Bombyx mori: one gene and its partner. The protein of the gene in region 1 interacts with the protein of each later gene in a biochemical or structural test. Links are inferred from orthologs where the notes say so. Each region holds a gene or a part of one and is shown on either strand. Other genes may lie near its edges.

What was found.
Region 2: the proteins of eukaryotic translation initiation factor 2 subunit 2 (region 1) and eukaryotic translation initiation factor 2 alpha subunit form a complex in vitro, tested with the Homo sapiens proteins (2 studies listed by BioGRID and IntAct). The link is inferred for Bombyx mori from reciprocal best matches to the Homo sapiens genes EIF2S2 and EIF2S1.

The regions. Positions count from the first base shown.
Region 1 is NC_085127.1:8,435,812-8,446,076, reverse strand, and holds eukaryotic translation initiation factor 2 subunit 2, read left to right. Parts: upstream 1-4,862; 5' UTR 4,863-4,929; coding exon 4,930-5,862; 3' UTR 5,863-5,908; downstream 5,909-10,265. Other genes in the region: large ribosomal subunit protein mL65, read right to left, coding at 556-711, 1,465-1,606, 3,000-3,138, 3,379-3,818; beta-ureidopropionase, read right to left, coding at 6,418-7,575.
Region 2 is NC_085126.1:6,528,013-6,539,486, reverse strand, and holds eukaryotic translation initiation factor 2 alpha subunit, read left to right. Parts: upstream 1-6,130; 5' UTR 6,131-6,292; intron 6,293-6,438; coding exon 6,439-6,676; intron 6,677-6,983; coding exon 6,984-7,212; intron 7,213-8,082; coding exon 8,083-8,315; intron 8,316-8,916; coding exon 8,917-9,032; intron 9,033-10,032; coding exon 10,033-10,144; intron 10,145-10,377; coding exon of another isoform or gene 10,378-10,415; exon of another isoform or gene 10,416-10,777; coding exon 10,778-10,848; 3' UTR 10,849-10,936; downstream 10,937-11,474. Other genes in the region: collagen alpha-1(IX) chain, read right to left, coding at 277-335, 4,197-4,207. UniProt on the Homo sapiens protein: Member of the eIF2 complex that functions in the early steps of protein synthesis by forming a ternary complex with GTP and initiator tRNA. This complex binds to a 40S ribosomal subunit, followed by mRNA binding to form a 43S pre-initiation complex (43S PIC).

The DNA of each region.
Region 1 (10,265 bases):
CTCTCCGCGGTATCTGTAACTTCGACCTGCCCCAAGGTGGAGTAATTCTTCGTTCAATTTTTATGCCCTTTAGTGGGGGTACCGGTAGGTCCTGAACTCTTGTTGATGCATGTAGACTATAACGTATGTACCCGAATATACGCTTGCCTGTACATTCAACTCTATTGGAGCATGTACAAGAGGGGACTTACCACGTACTTCAGCAGTACCCATCTGTGGAGGTGGTGGTTCTTGGAGACTTAATAAAGCCAGTAATCCTAACATTACAGAGGAAAGGCGGAAATTTAACGCCGCTCCAGGTCGAATCCGAGAGCTAATGCCAAGGCAAAGACTCGGCTGTTCCCTTGGCATTGCTGACGTCTATTACCGAACCACACACCATCAGGTGGGCCTTACGATCGTCTGTTTACAAAGACAATAAAAATATGAAAAAAAAACAAAAAAGAAGTTTCTCCATTAATTGAACATAATTAAATAAAGATCCTACAATAATTTTGATAATCCTAATTAAAGATTACTTAATCGCACATTTAGATAACGAAATTAAGAACGTACCTGGTATATTAGTTCCATGACGAAATTCACGAAAGTAACCAACACTGCCAGGTATAGTAGTAAACTTATCAACTTTGAATGCCGGATTCTCTGCTTCACTATATGGGATCAGCGGCTTTAGTGGGTGGCGATTTCTCAGAGTTAGTATTGGTGACCCTAGTTTGAAAATTAGGTAATTCAATTATTTTTGTCTAGTCATTAGCTTTTTAAATAAATTTTAATAGTACTTTAGGTGAAATTATAATACTACTCATCTCATATCATTAAAATGAGCGTCACCCGTTCCCTTAATACCGAAGGTCGTAAACCCTCATTATGGTCTATAGACCACCTAACGGTAAGTAGTCAGTGACCACTATTTATAGGTAGACGCAGAAACATAAAAGTCATATTAATAAATATAATTTTTAAATATTTAAATACTAAGTGTTCTTATAACTTTGGCAATTGGTATCAAGAATTTGATAATACAAAGCTATAAAACAAAGTAATGAAATAATTGTCTGGAATGAAATCTTATTATACAGTACATAGTATAGTAATATGCTATGTACATACAGCTTTGCTTTTTTATGAATGAGGGATTACTGGTGGCCTTTCCAGTTTCACTAGGACAGGTGAGTGAGGAAAGGCTCAGCCAGGAGAGGCGGGATTTAGTAACAGCCGCCCGAGCTCAGAGCTCCAAAGGACAGTTAACAAGTCAAGAGTAGCTAGTGCCTTGCAGATGTGGTAGCTTTGCTACTAGCTTTGTAGCACATGGAACTCTGCATAAAATAGTTAAGTTGATCTGTTACGCTTTGATAGGCAAACAAAAAAACTATTACACTTTTACCTTTGAATTAAAGTATGTGATCAAGTTTTAATTGTTATTTAATTTTTACGTTGCTATTGAATTTTTTTTATTCTTACCAATATATTGCACAGGCCTATCTGTACTTTCATAATGTGTACTTTTTGGCCATTTATTTTCTTTTCGCCATTTTACTGTTGTGGTCGGGGGATCAACACCACCAATATGCCAAAATGCTTCATGACGAGCATCATAATCAATCTGTAATAAATAATAATTATGATTGTTTAAGCTGTGTTAATGGTCACCTATTTTCTAGAGCATAATGCAGAACTGCTGAACGGCAGAAGTAGATATGGCAGGTCTGAATTACAGTAAGAACCGTACGTCCATGAATAACATTTCCTATCACTTCATAGTTAAAGAAATGAATTAATTTCGCAAATGACAGAAAAATACCTTATAGATATATGCAAATTATTGTAAAAAAATAAAATTCACATTTCAAGAAAAAAAGAGGACAATTCAAGATAAAATCAAATACCTTCAATGATCTAGAACTGGCATTAGACAAAACAAATTTCTCCAGCATTGAAAAATAACTTAAAAACATCATGTGAATAGAACAGCAATTAACTGGATAATCAACTTGCACAGCTAGAATCAGTTGATATTGCATTCTTTATATATTTATAGTATCAGAAGGCAACAGCTTGGCAATGGCCCCACACTGCTGACTTTCATGAGCGATGGTAACCACTCACTGTATGGTGCATTTGCTCATCTGTCTACAATGACATTCATTAATAAAAAAAACTTAGTAAATTTACATTGGCAATACATGTAATCAATTATGCTAGACTTGAGCTTGTCCATTATAGTATCCAGTTCCTCATTTTAATTAAGAATATATTGCCAGCTATGCATAGTAAAATAGCAAGATCATAGATTTCAAACTATTTCAGACTTTTTTTTAAATTATATAAGTATTTCTTAGAATAAAAAAAAAACAGGTAGGTAAAATCAAATAGGTAGTTTAGAATGGATTCAAGGATGCTGGAGGAAAAGTATAACAATAGTCCAAGAATTTCCATAAGCTCTCAATTCATTATCCCCAACTATACACGGTTTTTGCTAAAAGTATTATGAAATTTGGAGATGCTTATTTACTCAAAACTGCTCATTTGCCTACTATATATTCTAAGAATCTTATTACAATACACAATCTCAAATTACGTAACAGACAATATACCATACAATAGATATCATTGGTAAAGTGATTTGGAGATTTTTGTTTTATAATATTCTCTTTTGATATGGAAAATTGAAGAAAAAATTGAAGGATTGTTAAATATACTATTGATAAAGCATGTTTCAATTAAATATTAATTAAATTTGCCACATCTGTCCCTGTGGACGGTGTATAATGTCATTCTGAACAAATATACATTAGAAAAATTTTATCTCTCTGACAGTAGTTGTAATTATAGGAGCATGTTTTAACATGCTCATAACATAACCTTTACTTATAAAAAGTTACCCATAAAATTATTGTTATCCTAGTATAGACTAGGATAACAATAATTTGTTATCCTTGATATGTCGCCTTGGTCTAAAGTTTCCATGTATGCTAAGTAATTATTAAATCAAATACCTGTGTTGACAAAATATGAGGCAAGTTATCACTGAGATTGTTCATTATAATTCTGTTTATTTGTCTCACAACACATTTTGTAATTGTATCTTCTTGTTGCATTTTTATAGATTTATCTTGTAAGAATTTGAAGTTCCTCCTGAAATTTTTTTTAAATGCTTGATAAATTAATAATAAACTTAAGCTTGTATCTAGGTTTATAAATTAATCAAACAACACACATTTGATCTTGTTGTGAAGGTATCAAGTAGTCAATATCAAGTAGGCATTTTAGTTTAACCAAACCAAACCAACTAAATATTTTTGTGTAATCAATGTCATGTTTCTTTCCAATTGCGTAAATTGACAATTATACTTTAAACTAATTTCAATTACTTACTCAACATCAGTTAATTCAATAGCTATGGCATCTTCTATTTGTGGTTTGATTTCTTGAAGAATATTACTAGCTTGTTGTTCGATTTCATTGTATGCTTCCGGAAGTTTAGCGACCGGTATGAAATGACTCCTAGTATAATACTGTACTAAGGGCATTGCGTTGTACGGAACTTTATCATTGTTCAACATTATACACTGCCATCCATAATAACGAGGCATATTTAAGGCTATTTGTTTCTCTTCTATCGTGTTTAGTTCTTGTATTTTGCTTTGAAAACTTTGTCTTCGACGCAATAATTTTCCTTCCCGAGTCATATCCAGTATAGGGGGATACTCCGGTGTCTCGGTGTATTCACTTTCTTCAAGAGCCGTAATAGTAGAGTATCTTGGAATGGCATTCTTTATTTTCAATAATGATCGGTGTAATTTAATTATATGCATATCGAATTGCAATTCGATATACCCATAAATCAGAATTCCTATTGAGTTATTTGTTTCTTAGTTTATGTAGATATCTCCTAAGAGAAAGTGGCGATAAAAATTTAATTATTTTTAATTTTTAATTATATTTAATTTTTTTTAAAGTATGAAATTGGTAATTGATTTGCTTATTTTATTTTTGGAAACTAGACGTTTTGACTAATTTTAGGTTAATTTGACTTTGACTTTGACTGACTTTTTGAGACTTTGACAGATATACACAGTAATACAGACTAAATCATCTCTAAACATATTAAATGTATAATCTATGCTCTAAACTCTAAACTCTTTGAGAATTAGAACAATTTTTATGTATTCTCTTTATTTGAGAGTAGTACCTAAACAGTACGGTACTCAATGCTAAATGTTTAAGATCGTCTTAAGGTACTCAATTGTTTTATTTTACATTGAAAGTTTAGAAATAATACATCATTTAAATCAAATCATCAAATATATCACAAACAGTTCTTTAACGTTTTGTTCTTATTTGTGCGATATTGATAATTAATTAATTCAGTTTCATGAATGTGATAGTCATTTGGGTTGAGTCACCTCTTCTACTTTCCATAAGTAGGAGAGGTGACTCACTCTTTCCGGAAGGAAAAAAATCTACCTTCCAAAATGATATACTCTAAGCTCCGCCCTGCTTCTCTCCTGTTGCGACTTTAGCCACAAATCAACTCAATGCTCCAGTAGATTTTATAGTACTTTACGAGTAAAGCACCAGAATCAAAAATAATTGTAAATATTTTATGCTTGCATTCTAATAGAATCTTGATTTTCTACTATCTAAATATGATTTATTGGTCAGCTGACTCAATCCCCGGTTGCCATCCCTCCATACAAAATATTAGTTTATGTATAGACACGACTACTAAAAGAAGCCTAGATATCATAGACGTCAGTAATTGCGAGAGAAAAAAAAATTACGGTACGGTACATTTTTGAACGACGAATCTGATGCAACTTTTTGACATTATTTTGACATTAGCCTTCTACAATACTGCTCAATCGTCTCATATTCTAACCAAAAATTTAGTTTCCTTTACGAGAACAACGCCTTTTAGTAAACATGGACGACGATATGATATTTGATCCTTCGTTGAAGAAGAAAAAGAAAAAGAAGACTGGTTTTGATTTAGAAGCTGCTCTTGCTGGTGAGCAAGGTGAGAGCACGAGTATGGAGACACCCGCAGATACAGGTGACGTCGACGCGCCCGAAGACGATAACCTCGATTTAGACAATTTTGGCAAAAAGAAAAAGAAAAAGAAGAAGACGTTTTTCAATCTCGGAGAATTAGAAAATGCCTTGCCTGAAACACCGCCAACCGAAGAACCGGAAGCGCAGGAAGACGAAGTAATGGATGATCTAGATTTGGATATAGATTTCACTAAGACGAAAAAGAAAAAGAGGAAGAAGGATAAAAATGTAGATGAACTGGTCACAGAAGAAGATGTCAGAGGAGAAGATCAAGAAAATGTGGAAGATGAGCACGGTGAATGGGTTGGAAGTGATCATGATTACTCATATGACGAACTTCTAGAACGAGTTTTTGATATTATGCGGGAAAAGAACCCAAGCATGGTATCTGGTAAAAAGCAAAAGTTCATAATGAGACCACCCCAAGTAGTCCGAATTGGTACAAAGAAAACCTCCTTTGCCAATTTTACGGAAATTTGTAAAACTTTGCATCGGCAGGCCAAGCATTTGTTGGATTTTCTTCTGGCGGAATTGGGTACTAGTGGTTCAGTGGATGGAAACAGTCAACTAATTATCAAAGGTCGCTTCCAACAAAAACAGATAGAGAATGTTTTACGTCGGTATATAAAAGAGTATGTAACATGTCATACATGCCGCTCCCCTGATACAATTTTACAGAAAGATACTAGATTATTCTTCCTTCAATGTGAGACATGTGGGTCTCGTTGTTCAGTGGCTAGCATTAAATCTGGTTTCCAAGCTGTGACTGGCAAGCGTGCTGCCATCCGTGCAAAGACTGCATAGAAAATTAGTGCTTAGTGATTAACTAATTTTACAGTAATGGTTTGGGGTACATGTGGTAATTTTTAATAGTAGATTGTGTTTTTATATCTGTCAACCTCAGCCAACATGACAAGCTAAGCATTATTGTAGTAATTAATAATAAACAAATTAGGCAATTTCAAATGAATTCAGCACATGTTGTGGTCCTCAGTTTCAATAAACATAGTACAGTAACCCAGGTGTTGACAACACAATGTGAAATACATATTTATTTTTATCAAATGTGTCCCAATTGAATCCCTATATTTATGTATAACTCACATCTGTATTATTCTCATTGATACACAATGTTTTATAAAATATTGTTTTATTTTAATCTATTGCATATAATAAAACATTTTCTAACAATTAACAATCTTTATTAAAGTCTGTAATGCAGTGAAACACCAATTATGTCTAAAAATTAAAGTAGACTAAAACAGAGTTTAAATTTAGCAGAATTAACAATATTAACAGATCTGTTCAGTAACACTATAATAAAATTGTAGGATTCATGATTGGTAAATTGAATCTTTATTACTTGTGTACCACTTGAGGTACATAATCATGCTTTATAGCTTCATTTAGACTTTGAGCATATAAGTCAAGGCGTTGAGTCATAGTGAATCCCCACTTGTCTTTAATTTGGCGACACAAGTTTAGATCAACTTGGGCAATAAGTAAACCATCCTTAATTCGAGACAGGCCTGGAGTTCTGCTACCATCAGGTGCTGTCACATAGCTAGAACCATAGAAGTGTCCAAAATCTTTATGTGCTGGTTTTCCATCTCCAGATGTAAATTCATTTGGGAATGATTCAGTTCCTACTCTGTTTATAGCACATGTATAATAACTGTTGGCTATAGCTGCATTGCGAGCTTCAACTGCCCACAAATGTTCACTTAAACCTGAAACTGTTGCTGATGGGTTAAATACAATTTCAGCACCATTGATACCAAACATTAGCCAGTTTAGTGGATGGTGACGACCATAGCAAATATTGATGGCAACTTTACCATATTTTGTTTCAAATACTGGATGACCAGTATTACCTTCAAAATAATATGTAGATTCATTGAAATCTCCAACCCTTGGAATGTGGTTTTTACGGTGTTTTCCTATTACCTTTCCAAATTCATTGATAACTACTGCTGTATTCCAAATAGTATCTCCATGAATATCATCTCGTTCTAAAATTGGAGATATGATAACCATGTCATACTTCACTGCAAGCTCTGCTAAAAAAACTGTGCTAGGGCCAGTCAACACAGGTTCTGCAAAGTCACACCATGGTTGCTTTTCTCTTGTACAAAATGCAAAGGGCATGTTCCAAGCTTCTTGTAAACAAAGAATATTAACTTGCTCTGCAGCTGCAGCAGATATGATCTTTTGAACCTTTTCGAATATAGCTAGTCGTTGTTGAGTAATTGGGTTATCAGTAGAGATAGCAATAGAATGTTGTATGAGGCCTAATCTTACAATGCGAGGTTTCCTGCATTCTTCTTTTCTTGCAGGAAAATCATAAGCTTTTATTTCAAATCCATTGCTAGCGGCTTTTTGGGCAGCAACGGAACTGATAAACAAAGCACATTGGTCTATTCTTCCATAGTGAATTCTATTAAACTCTTCTAGTTCTTTACCCTTTAATGAATTTGATATTACTTCATCCAAACTTGTGAGTTCTGCAGAAGCCATTTCTTTGTAAGTTAATTGTTCCCCTTATTCTTCTTTTTAATCTTTTTTACAATTTTAAATCACTAGAGTAACAGATAAACAATTTACCAGTTTTAAGTTCCCTATAATTATGTACCAGTCCGGTACACAATATATAAAAGATATTTACTAGATAAGGGTAACACTGTATAGCGTTTTAATTATTCGATAGAGTAACTTGTCTGCACTATTTTAGGTACATCTGCACTATGTAATGTTGAAAGTAGTTGAAGAATGATGAATGTGGTTTGAAATTTGCACTGCCACTTCGATTTTGATTTCAAACGAATCCAATGAACTAAGATGTGAAATTGGTCGGGTTAAAAAAATCTTCCTTAAATTCGTAAGTATTGCGATAACTAAATACCTATTTAAAGTTTCGAATAAACAAGTGATAAGAAGTTAAGATAATAGAATGAGAAATAAAATGACCTTTTATAGATTAAATTAGAGACATTTATAGACAACACTATTTGTCCTTTCAGTTTTTTGATCAGTATTACCCGTAGACCTATATATAGTATATTAACTGATACAGGGCATCTCAAGCCATAATTTCAAGGTATGTACATCAAAGTGAACTAACATTAAATATAGTGTAGGTACTATTATCTATGGTGAACAATGCAGTTAATGTTAGTAAAGGTAACTAGTTACTTTTAATATTAACCACCGAAAAGAAGATTCACCATTAATTGCGTGAAACGAACTGCACTGTGTTATTATTCAAGCATTACCTACCTCTTGGGCCGGGGAATTCCCACAGAACGGGGAATAGATTATAAATAACTATTATTTGACAAAATTGAGATGATTACATTTAGCATATTCTTTGTTTACTGTATGTTACCCTTGTAATGTTGCGGATAGTAGTAAGTAAGTTTATAACGTTACATTAAAGTGCTCATTTTGAAACAGTGGCTAGATTGTTCGGATTAATTGTATTATAATTAGTACTTATAACTTTTAAAATTATCTGTTGCAAATGATGTGACAAAAAAAACCAGCAGCGTAACGACAAGTTCTTTTATTTGTGCAAGAAAGCAGAAAGCAGGTAGAAATGGCCGGCATGGCTTGTTTTATTAACACTATCCCCCCTTCGTTGGCTTTGGCTAGCGGCAGTGGCGCAGAAGGGGGAGTGTTAACATGGCTTGGCGGCTTAGCTGGCGGCAGGGCATGACAGCTGACGTCACGTCCGTTACATTCGGCTATCCTGCAACAATTGCTCCCGCAATGGGGAACACACAAAAACATTTAGCTCTCTAAAAGTCGTCGTGGCCTAAAGGATAAGACGTCCGGTGCATTCGTATGAAGCAATGCACCGGTGTTCGAATCCCGCAGGCGGGTACCAATTTTTCTAATGAAATACGTACTCGACAAATGTTCACGACTGACTTCCACGGTGAAGGAATAACATCGTGTAATAAAAATCAAACCCGCAAAATTATAATTTGCGTAATCACTGGTGGTCGGACCTCTTGGGAGTCCGCATGGGTAGGTACCACCACCCCGCCTGTTTCCGCCGTGAAGCAGTAATGCGTTTCGGTTCGAAGAGTGGGGTAGCCGTTGTAAGTATACTGAGACCTTAGAACTTATATCTCGAGGTGGGTGGCGCATTTACGTTGTAGATGTCTATGGGTTCCAGTAACCACTTAACATCAGGTGGGCTGTGAGCTCATCCATCCATCTAAGCAATAAAAAATAATAATAATAATAATAATAAATCAATAAGGTCTTCAGTTTCGAGCTGCTCATCGGAACTACTAGCGCTATCGGACATATGGGCTATACTTTTATAGGGCCTTAATGTGAAGTTTTTATAACCTCAGAAGTAGAGTTGTCAGTTTGTTTTTGTAATAGCATATTAGCAATTCCTAATATACACTCATCGGTATGTATTTCCATAGAAAGCATAGGATCATACAAAGCTAGCGTAGGTTTGGCGCATAACGGTTTTCCAGTTGTTCGAAACTCTCGTTTTGTTCACGGCCCCACACCCATGATTTGTCTTATTATTGTTCAGGGGTTGGGATATTGAAGAACTAAATTTTAAATCTTTAAGTATACGAATTTCCTGTTGCAAGAAATCTTAATGTTACAACCAATCTTTCTTTTGGACTTATACTATCGTAGAATTAAATATGTAATAGATATATAATAGACGATCGTAGGATAGTACTCTGCTTTTGAATAAACGGTGTCACAAGGTTTAATATTAGGTCAAACGAGATCGAATCCATTTATAGATATTTTCTGAAGTCTGCTGGTTCTAAATCACTCATAATGTTCATATTTGCTAACACTCCGCACAGCAATAAATATTTCTTCACCGATATTCTTGTTTTTATTTCTTTTTATTTTGAGAAATTGAAAAAAAACATAAAAACAAAAACAAAAAAATTGTTGTTTAACAATACTGGGGCCATCCTCTTACGCACACGACACGTCTTACTTCGTCGCGTTTAAACTGACAATTGATTCAGTAACTGAATTTAGAATAGTGTAACCAGAAGCTTCTAAATTTGCTTCTGAATTCTAACGTCTGAATTCAGCCAAGTGCAATAAACTTATAACATGGCTTGGCGGCTTGGCTGGCGGCAGGGCATGCCAGCTGACGTGACGTCCGTTACATATCATTAAAAATGTCGGCTCGTGGAAGCGACGACGAAGGC
Region 2 (11,474 bases), on another chromosome or scaffold:
GAGGTCCTACCACCCGTAAAGACAGTAGGTTTCTTAAAATCATTAGAAAATGACAGGCTGATACTATAAAACAATCCCGTACGGATGTTATTTTTTTCTAATATCAAAACTACCTTTGTCAAGCTAAATTGGCTAATATTTCTTAACAATCTCTTCAATTAAATGACCGGCGATAAGAGATCCCCATCAACACAAGCGGCCGTAGAACGAATTACTGTAATTGAAATATGACAATAAATTTAATGTGCAAATGTAATTTTATATTTTGGAGTGTACCTGCTTGCCCGTTGCTGTATGAGAAGAGAATAGATAGGAAGACCAAGACGTATGGTAACCTGAAAGGTAAAACAAGAATAATATAATCAGTTAATTTTATATGCACACCAAAAAAATCTCACAAAAAGCAAGAGCAACATAGTTGTAACTCTTAGTGCTTCGTTTCGGATTTAATCATAAGATATACATATGTAGGTATCCGAGCCAGGCCTCTTTGAAATCCTGTTACTGCTTCCACATCATTCGTCCATAGAAACAATATGCTCAAAAGGAGCATTATTCCTAATTAGTTTCCTCTGATCTATCATCTAGCTCCTATTAGCAGTATTAACGGTAAGTCATACACTGATTGTTACAAACATCCTAATAGAATATCTTATTATGTTTGTGGCGCGAAGCTTTTGCGCTTTAAGCTCTGTGTGCCTAGTGCGAGTTTTTTAACGTTCTCTATAGCGTAAAAGTTAGCTCATATTTGTATGGAGTGGGATCGTTTGCGTACGTTTGCCGCTAGGGGCGCTGTTCCAATGGCATACAAAATTGGCTTAACTTTTACGCTATCGAAAACGTTAAGAAACTCTCACTAAGCACACTGAAAGGCAATCGTTGGGCGCGCATCTCAGATGAACGCCAGCGCTCGACTTATAATGTAAATCGACTGTAGTTAACACTTAAAACCGCAAAAAAATTATTAACATGAAAGTTTTATGCGATTCTTATCGTTTTTCGTGGAATATACACGGAAACAATTTTCCAGCTGGTAACGCGTCATTATGTTAAGTTGCCGGAGAAACTGTTAAAATCTATACTAATATATAAATCTACAGTGGCTTTTACGGATGTTCCGTTATAACTACTGAACTATGCATCCAATTGACTTGAAACTTGGTATCCATGTAGAAAATACATCTACTTAATGGATAGGCTAATATTTATATGAGTGTTAGACTCCCTAATAATAATGACAGTAGATAATAATGTTAATTTTAAATGCGCAGCGAAGCGGGCGAGTACGGGTAGTCCTGAATAAATCTGTATCATATTCTATAGGCCGAAATAGACAGGACGCACCAAATATTCCATGTTAAATAATAAACGTTAAATATAACCTGAAGAGGTTTCAAATTTAATTATCACACGGAACTGAAAGTAATTCGTAATGGCAAGAATACATATTGTATGACATTTTTTATGTTAAAAGAACTTCATTAACTGTCACATTATGAGACTAACTACGAATTTCAAATAGCCCTATGTAATTTAGATCGAAATATCTTAGATGAATTTTTTTTGTTCATAATTTAAATTCGCAATAGCTTGGTCGAGCGGCCCCAATGATATTTCTTTCAGTATTGACGTATGCGACCTCGTCCATATTGAAACATCAGACGACCTACTTCATACATCGAATCTCAATAAAATAATAGGTCAATAAATAATTGAACTGTACAAAACCGGCTTTGCGACCTAGTTGTGTGCCCATACGCACTGGAGCTTAAACTCGCAACCTTGTTTTAGTACGTTTTAATTACGCCACCAGTTTTAAGGTCAAGGTAAATATGGCAAATCGATGCGAACAAAATCGTAAAAACCATAGAAATCGTAACCAAGTTTACTTAACAACATGTTTTTATTAGTGTTGTAAGTGTACATGTTTGTTTATAACGAATATTTGAACGACATTTTCACGGACTTCAACAAGTATGAGTAACTTGAAAATTTGCACACGCATCAAGTACCGATGACAGTTTAATAATTTTATAATTTCAATTGATTTGGATCAACCTACATTTTGTTTTTAATCATTATCTGCAAGAAAATAATCATAAATATTTTCCTATAGCATCCAAGAAAATAATGTAACTAAAATTTTTATTGTTTTGTTTAACTTACTCATAATATAGTATCATAACTCTTTTGCTTAGATTAATCATAACATGACTAATTAAACTACGATCTACTCCTCAGAAAGCCGCTAAATTAGCTTCGGAGAAAGATAACATTAGTCAACAACACAATATATCTTTTTAATATTAATGTATTAAAATCCTTCCTCTTTATTGAAGAGTCCTTATTGAAGAGCTTCTTAATATAACCTATTTTAACCTTAGCCTTCCACGAGGTGGATCGATGGTTTGTTAGAAGTCGTAGGAATCCACAGGATGCGCAGAACCAGTCATTATGGTGAACTTTAGGGAAAACTATGTCCAGCAGTGGATGTCTGTGGGATGTGTATGGATGATAATGAACCTTAGCAATCTCTTATCGGCAGCATTCATTTACTTAGTATCACAAAACATTAATATCGGCGGTAGTTTGCAAATATGATATCGATTATTCGCCGATGTGAAAGTTCACGTCCTATTTTTTTTTTATAAATTAGCTGTTAGATGTTTTGTCTCTGGCATCGCTGATGTCCATGAGCGGTAGCGACCACTCACCAACAATTCGATTTGTTCCTTCGTTATGAAAGACGTTTTAAAAGTTTCATTACACTTCGTTTATGTTTGTAATTCAAAGCATTTTAAACAATCCAAATTATTATTTTTTTATATCGCTTCGTTTCACAGCTCACGTGCGAACAACGATGAACTTTTGTACAACAGTCAATCGATTTGATGGCCAATTTGATGTGTATGTTTACAAAAAAGAACGAAGGACTGGTTGTTTTGTATTTATTAAAATTTGATTTATTAAGTAGGTAGAGAATATTTTGCAGTTGATATTATGACGAAACCGTCCATACAAAGTTTTTATTCTATTAAAGAAACTAAAGCTCCTCCTTGTATTCTAATATTCATTAGAACTTATTACCATAGATTTTAATTTATCAAAATCATTATACAATAGTAACTACATAAATTTAAACTTTAATAAAAGTATTATATTATAAAAAAGTAACGTAAAGTTATGTAATAAAATTTGAGATTTCTTTTACAAGACGGAAACAATATGGCCGCCTATATTTTCATGTGTATCTGTTTTGTGGCGGTTAAATCTTCGTTCAAACGTTACCACACAGTATTCAAGCCGAATTTCGAAAACGAAGACTGTTGCTATTATTGAGAGTGCTTTCATAACCGTAAAATACAATTTGCGCTTTTCTTATCAAGAGATAATTTAATTCGAAACATTCCACATTGCAATTCGCAATAGGACCTTCGACTATTTATTCGATAATCGTATATTTCACGTATATTATCATGGTGTACATATCGTCTATAATTAGGTCTCTGACGGCTTAAATCAAATGGCTCAGCAATTAATACATTACTCACAATCACGTCCAGAAAAACACAAATTACTAAAAACGTCAGAGAAGTGGTCGCTCAATGAATTCAGCTTTTACAGCTGTAATAATTATTAAGTGAGTGAGTAATCAAGGAAAACTACGTAATTTCAAGAGACAATGTAACGAAATGTAAAACGGTTAAATTATGAATTTCAACTTTACAATGTGATTCATATAATTAGTTCTTCACAAATTGTATCATTCAGATTCATTCTCGGTAAATATAATGCTAATGTAACTATAATAAACAGTATAGTGTAGTATATTTAACATGTTGTAACGTAAGGTAACCATACTTTTAATAGCAATAACAAAAAAGGCGCGAAACGATATTTTACTGTCATAGATAATTCTATTTTATATTTATTAAAAATTTCATATAATACAATCACAGTATTTTCGAACCCTAAAATATTTTTGATAAAGAATACTGTTGTCTGATAAGTTTGTTGTAATTATAATCAACTTGAAGAAAATATGTATGCGTGATTTTATACACTAGGTCTAATCCAAACAAATTAATTCACTCTTTTTTTTACATTTATTGGAAGAAGGAAGAGACGTTCAGAACATAATACATTAAGAATACGCTATACAATATCTTATAAGCAAAGAATATGGCTGAACTTACCAGAAATACATTTTAATTTAGTTAAATGAACATATTTCGCTAAATGTTGCACAGTAAGTATGGGGACAAGACGCGTACTGATCGAACTATCACCAAGATTTGTTCGCCCCGTGATATATTTCAATTAATTCGCTACTCGACAGCGTTTTTAATGTCTTACAATTGCAAGATGTTTAACATGAAACATACGACAAATTTTGTTGCGTTATTTAATTTCGAATTATTTCATAGAAAAAGAAGATAGGAATTTATAGATTTGCGCTCGTGTTCAAACTTTTTTTTTATTGTCTTTGTAGGCAGATGATACGGCCCAGCTGATGGTAAGTGGTTACCGTCGCTCATGGGCGTCAGCAATGCCAGGGGCAGAGTCAAGCCGCTGCCTACAAATAAAACTTCACTGATTGCATCTAAAACAGAAAAAAGCGAGTCGAATATACTGTGAATTCCTCTATTTCACTAAGCTCCCCTCATTACCATCATCTACCGCTAAGGTGTTTTTAAAACATTCATTTATAAATAATGTGATAAACTATTGCAAAGGAAATACCGAGAGTCAAAGTTCATTTCAGAGACTGGCAGTACTGGCAGAGTACTCAATCTTTGGAAACCATTTTTTTTATTGCTTAGATGGGTGGACGAGCTCACAGCCCACCTGTTTTTAAGTGGTTACTGGAGCCCATAGACATCTACAATGTAATTGCGCCACCCACCTTGAGATATAAGTTCTAAGATCTCAATATAGTTACAACGGCTACCCTATCCTTCAGACCGAAACGCATTATTGCTTCACGGCAGAAATAGGCAGGGCGGTGGTACCTGCTCGCGCGGACTCACAAGAGGTCCTACCACCGGTAAAATACTAATAATAATCGGTCTAACTACTCCGGTTATGGGATTGTAGAAACAGATTACAGAAAAATCTCAAACAGTTCTCCGCATCATGATCAGAACTGGAATAACTATTATTATACACCTAAATTAAATCCATATAGTTTATAGATTTGTTTTTCTGACCATACTAATTTGCTGCAGCGTAAATTAGCAAATGGCCAATAGTAAAATGACATTGTCAAGGATGCGTGAACGCTTACAAATATGCTATCTTCCCGGAATAATCGAGACGTAATCTTCATATTGTATGCGGAATGCGATAGGTTCATAAGAGTTTTAATTGATGTTAATTGTTGTGACAAATAACGCACGTATGCTTAATGAATTAGGCCAAGTATATGTGCGTTTAATATTTTCTTTTATTATTTATAAAACCTCACATAAGGATTTTTAATGCTCTAATGAACCTACGTCCATTTATAATTAAGCCGTTATTGGAGCCCAGAAACCTCAGGAACAGTAACTTTGGGGTGCCTTGAGGCTCCCTTGACCTCTAACACTAAGTAGGCCAAAGGAACCGCCCGTTTCATCAACTAAAAAATATATTTGAAATTGTTCAAGTCAATAACGATCAATTGAATATTCAAAGTCAATTGCGGAAACTTTGTTCTATTGAACAGAAATAGGAAAGTCGGTCAGTAATTTAATTATGTATTCAATACAATTGTTATAATGACTAATGAAAGTCCAACTTTTTTAAACGTAACTTCGACCAAAAATTCATCAATTACGGTTTTTAAGAGACCTGATACAATATTTTACGATCAGATGCCCTTTTTTACATTTTAGCCATCGTTAAACTTGCCTCTACGGGCCTAAACTTGAGTCCACTTCTGGTGAATATGAGCTGAGCGGATAATTTCAGAGAACATTAATAAATTCTAATTTAAATATGTCAACGGGTTTTGTTGCAAGTCCCGCTACACCAACACAATGGATCATACACTTAGTATTTAACATCCAACACCCAACCTTTACGACACGACTACCGCTACGTTTCATTTCACGCAAATACATTTCAACAAAGTTGATACAATAGACTTTGACTTTTTCTAATTTGTGACAGATGTCACACAACGCAAGCCCAGACAGAAGGACATGAAGCAAACGCTGAATTTCGTCAACGTGAACAAGTTGACTGTTTCATCATATTCTTTCTTTATCTAATATTTAACAGACAAAAACGAATTAAATAAATACACAAGGTAAATTAATACTGTATTCTCAATAATTAATACCAGAATTTGTGACACAAAGTTTTCATATAGGTTATAAATATTCTCAATAGTAAATACCAGAATTTGTGACACAAACTTTTCACATAGGTTATAATAAAATCAAATTATTCTAGATGCCTTTGTCGTGTCGATTTTATCAAGAGAAATATCCGGAAGTTGAAGATGTGGTGATGGTGAACGTTAGATCCATCGCAGAGATGGGAGCATACGTCCACCTTCTAGAATACAATAATATAGAGGGCATGATCTTGCTATCTGAGCTTTCCAGAAGACGTATCAGATCCATTAACAAATTGATCCGAGTGGGAAAGACTGAACCGGTTGTCGTAATCAGAGTGGACAAAGAAAAAGGTTAGATATTGTTTAAAATAATAATAAATTTTTTTATAAAATTGCACTCCATTTTTCGCTTCAGTAAAATATTACCATTTGTGCTTTGGAAAACAGGAATTAAACAAACCAATATTGTCATAAACTAATTTATCAAATCAATGTTTTATCCACTCAGTCCTCAAAGCCAATGGGTTAATATTGACATGTCATTCTCTGTATTAATAACAAAGTACACATTTAATTGAAATATGATATGACAAACTAGCACCAATCACCAATATTCCAAATGATCGCTTTTAATTTTGTTATTTCCTTCAATTCACAGGATACATAGACTTATCGAAACGTCGTGTATCTGCTGAAGATATATACAAGTGCACAGAACGCTACGCAAAAGCAAAAGCAGTAAACTCGATCCTGCGACATGTAGCAGAGCTCCTCCATTATGAAACTTCTGAGCAATTGGAAGAACTTTATAAAAAAACAGCTTGGTACTTTGAAGAGAAATATAAGAAGAAAGCCTCAGCATATGACTTCTTCAAACAAGCAGCTGTGTAAGTGTACATCTTGAGTTAAAATGATAAGGTTGGTGCTTATGTACCCCCAATTGTGGGGGCTTCGTAGGAGGTTTGGCCCCCAGACTGAAAAAAAAAAGAAAAAGGGTGCTTGTGTAATTATCATTATGTCCAAATGGACCAAAAAGTCAATTTAGTGTAGAATGAATACTACTTTTGCTTTCTTCAGCTCTCACACTCTGCACTCAGAAACTATCACACTTCAATAGGACATGAATTACTGTGTACTAGTCAGCTGCTCACAACCTTATGTATTTGTGACTTATATATTTACTAGGGCTTCCTATATGTTACCCTTGAGTAACCCTTCCCTCAAATTTCTCTAAACACTGAGCTTTACACAGTTTGAGTGTTGCAGTGGCTCAGTGCACTGTCTAACACAGCCTTTCCCAAAGTGGGCGATAACGCCCCCTTGTGAGCGCTGCAGGCCGAAAGGGTAATAGACCCAGAAAAAATGGGTGTGTAGAGGCTTGGGAGGTGATTTGTAATTTCATCTAGGAGGACTCTTAGACACAGACTCAGTTCTCTCTATAGTGGTTTTTAAGAAGATGAAAAAACGGGGGCACTAGAATATAATTAATTCTCAAAGTGGGCAGTAGACAGAATAAGTTTGGGAACCCCTGGTCTAACAGATTTGTGCTGCCAGTCCGAAGGTAGGCTAATTAGGTAGTTTAATTATCTCTATGACTATGAAAACTGAAGAAAATATTATGAACCATTAATTTTGAGAAAAAGAACTGACCTTAATCTTGTGAAATTGAAATATGTTAATACACAAAATAAAAAGTGCTATATTACCTAATTGGAACAAGAAGAAAGTTGTTTCTATGCAATATGTTAATGTTCCAGAGACCCATCAGTACTCGATGAATGTGGCTTAGATGAAGAAACCAAGGATGTCCTCTTAGCTAATATTAAAAGGAAACTGACCTCGCAAGCAGTGAAGATTCGTGCTGACATTGAGTGTGCTTGCTATGGTTATGAAGGCATTGATGCTGTACGAGCAGCTTTGAAAGCTGGTCTAGCTCTGTCTACAGTGGACATGCCAATCAAAATTAATCTTATTGCCCCACCTTTGTATGGTAAGTGTTTGATTTAATTTTCGTTTTTAGATATATTTGCACTAGATACTTTGTGTATGATAGTGTATGATAACAGCGCATCCTAAAAAGATTTGAATGTCCTAGAAAGATGGATGGACTATTTGAGAGAATATGCAAGAGAAGGGTATGGAGTTTAGAGTATGTTCTGATCACACTGTAGGATAAGTCCAAGAAGAAGATGATTGATGGACAGAAATATTGGTCATTATGTACTCCAAACCACAATGGTAGACTTATAGTAGAAATCTGCAGGTATAATTTTAGTATACACAAATTTCTTTATTAAATTTCATTAATTGTATAGAGGGATAAATGAGCTCACCCAGTGTCAAGTGTTTACCGGAGCCTATATATTTCACAATTTGAAAAACTCTATTTAAAGATTTTTTTTCTTAACTGAATTGCCCTTGTAGGCAGACGAGCATACGGCCCACCTGATGGTGAGTGGTTACCGTCGCTCATGGACTTCAGCAATGCCAGGGACAGAGCCAAGCCGCTGCCTACCGAAAATTATTACATAACTTGATTACTGTATGTCTCACTAAGCAAAGTATAATCATTTAACTAAGGTTTCTTACAGTAATGACTACCTCAACTCCTGAGAAGACTGACGGTCTCAAAGCATTACAAGACGCAATCGACAAAATTCAAGAGAACATCACAGAAGCAGGTGGAGTCTTCAACATTCAGATGGCGGTAAATTCTCAAATTCCTATTTATACAACTTTATTGGTTTAGCTATATGTTTCAATATGAAAAAGATTGCTAAATTTATAAATAAACATTTTGAATTAAAGCCTCCGAGTCATCTGCCAAGTAACTATTTAATAGTATGTGAATTTTGAACTTGTCTGTTCAGTATGATATTTTATTACATAAACTATGTTTTTTTTTATATATCAAATTAAATATGTACTTATGTTAGTTTGTATTCAATGCGCGAATATGGTCCGTCTGATTTATTTGAAACTCTATAGTTATTAATTCCATCTCAAAAAAGTTTTTGTTCAATACAATATAGTACCTCCAACAAACGATAGGTGGCGCGTGAGTAATTTTTTATTGCTTAGATGGGTGAACGACCTCGACCTACCTAGTCTTAAGTGGTTACCGGAGCCCATAGACATCAAAAACTTAAATACCACCACTCAGCTTGAGACATGAGTTCTAAGGCCTTTTACAGTACAACAGTGTAGATATACTTGAGACCTTAGAACTTATATCTCAAGGTGGGTGGCGCATTTACGTTGTCTATAGGCTCCAGTAACCAGTTAACATCAGGTGGGCTGTGAGCTCGTCCACCCAACTAAGCAATAAAAAAGAATACAACAGTTGTGGAAATCAATCGTGAGGATTTATTAAGAACGTATTTCATTAGAAACATTACGCGTGATTTCGGATCCTCCGGATACTAGTTCGGCGAATCTAGAATAACCCAGTTCAGTAAATCAAGTTGCTAGAATAGGCAAAAAAAAATAAAATTGATACCTATCTGCGGGATTCGAACACTGTTGCATCGCTCTATACCAATGCATCGAGCGTCCTTATCCTTCAGGCCACAGCGACTTCAGCTACTTTCTTGAGAAAAACGTGACTGGATCTCATTCACTAATATACTTTTTTAGCTTGTGATGTGTATTTTGTGCCTAATAAATAAAATAAAAAAATAACTACTGTACAATAAGCATTTCCACAGCCTAAAGTTGTGACAGCGACAGACGAGGCCGAGTTGGCTCGACAAATGGAACGCGCTGAGGCTGAAAACGCTGAAGTCGCTGGTGATTCGGCCGAGGAAGACGAGGATCAAGGTATTTCTAAATATGAATGAATGAATGAACGAATGAAAAAAAAGACTGTCTGGTGTAGTGGTAAGTGACATGGTCACTAGACAAGGGGATCGCGGGTTCGAATCCCGCCAAGTTAAGATGTTTGTATGATAAATATAAAATGTCTTTTCCAGGGTTATGGATGTATATTATACTATATGCCCAGCGCAGAAACAAAACCTAACCACCGCTTTTTCTACATAATTATTGTGTAGGTATGGGCGATGCTAACATGGACGGTGAACCGTGTTAAAAGTCTTGTCGAAAGATTGACAACTATTAAAGTAATTAGAGTTTGAAATTTTTAATTTTATCTATAAACTAGCGACCCGCCCTCGCTTCGCTTCGGAAACATTAAAACACAAATGAAACCAAAAAAAAAAAATTAAAATTTTTTTTTAAAAAGTAGCCTATGTTCATCAGGGACAATGTCGGCTTCTAATGGAAAAAGAATTTTTCAAATCGGTCCAGTAGTTTCGGAGCCCATTCGAAACAAACAAACAAATCTTTCCTCTTTATAATATTAGTATAGATGTTAGATCGAAGTAACACTATATGCCCAGCTCAGAAACATAACCACTGGTTTTTCTATTCTACATAACAATTATTGCGTAGGTATGGGCGATGCTAACATGGATGGTGAACCGCAACAGAACGGCGCTTCGGACGAAGAAGACGACAATTGATAATAAAACTTTAATATCATAATAAATGGTACTCTGTAATCTAACGTGTTTCAAATGTAATATAAAAATAAAACATGTTTTATACAAATCATCTGGTATTATTATTATTTACTCCTTTAGTGACATTAATACCTTATATGAGTCGACTATTATCAAAGCCGGCAATGTGACTTTTGGATAATTATTGGTAAATCAGAAAAAAGAATTATTGGCAGTCACAAAACTCTTCTGTACGACATCTTAGATAAATAACAGGTTAAGTATTAACCTTTATTTAATGCAGGTTTTGAACCGTATTCTTTGAAGGAGACGATTATATTCAAATCAATCTGTATTGAAATATCAATAAAATTTTTGTCCAAATGCACAGATTGCCACCTTTGATAATAGACGACTCATATATAGATAAATAAACAGTTTTTTGTTTATGTAGATGAGTAAACAGGCGAAATGGTAAGTGCTTTAGTGTTAAACTTTTTAGTTACTAGCGCTATATGGTCACTGGAGGCTATAAAGGCGAGACGCTATCCGCGTATCTCCTTTTTTTTCCTACCTATGCTGATGCCTTGAGAGGCTATTCTTCACCGTAACATGTAGGTGAGCTCACGAGGCTCAAACCTGAGTGT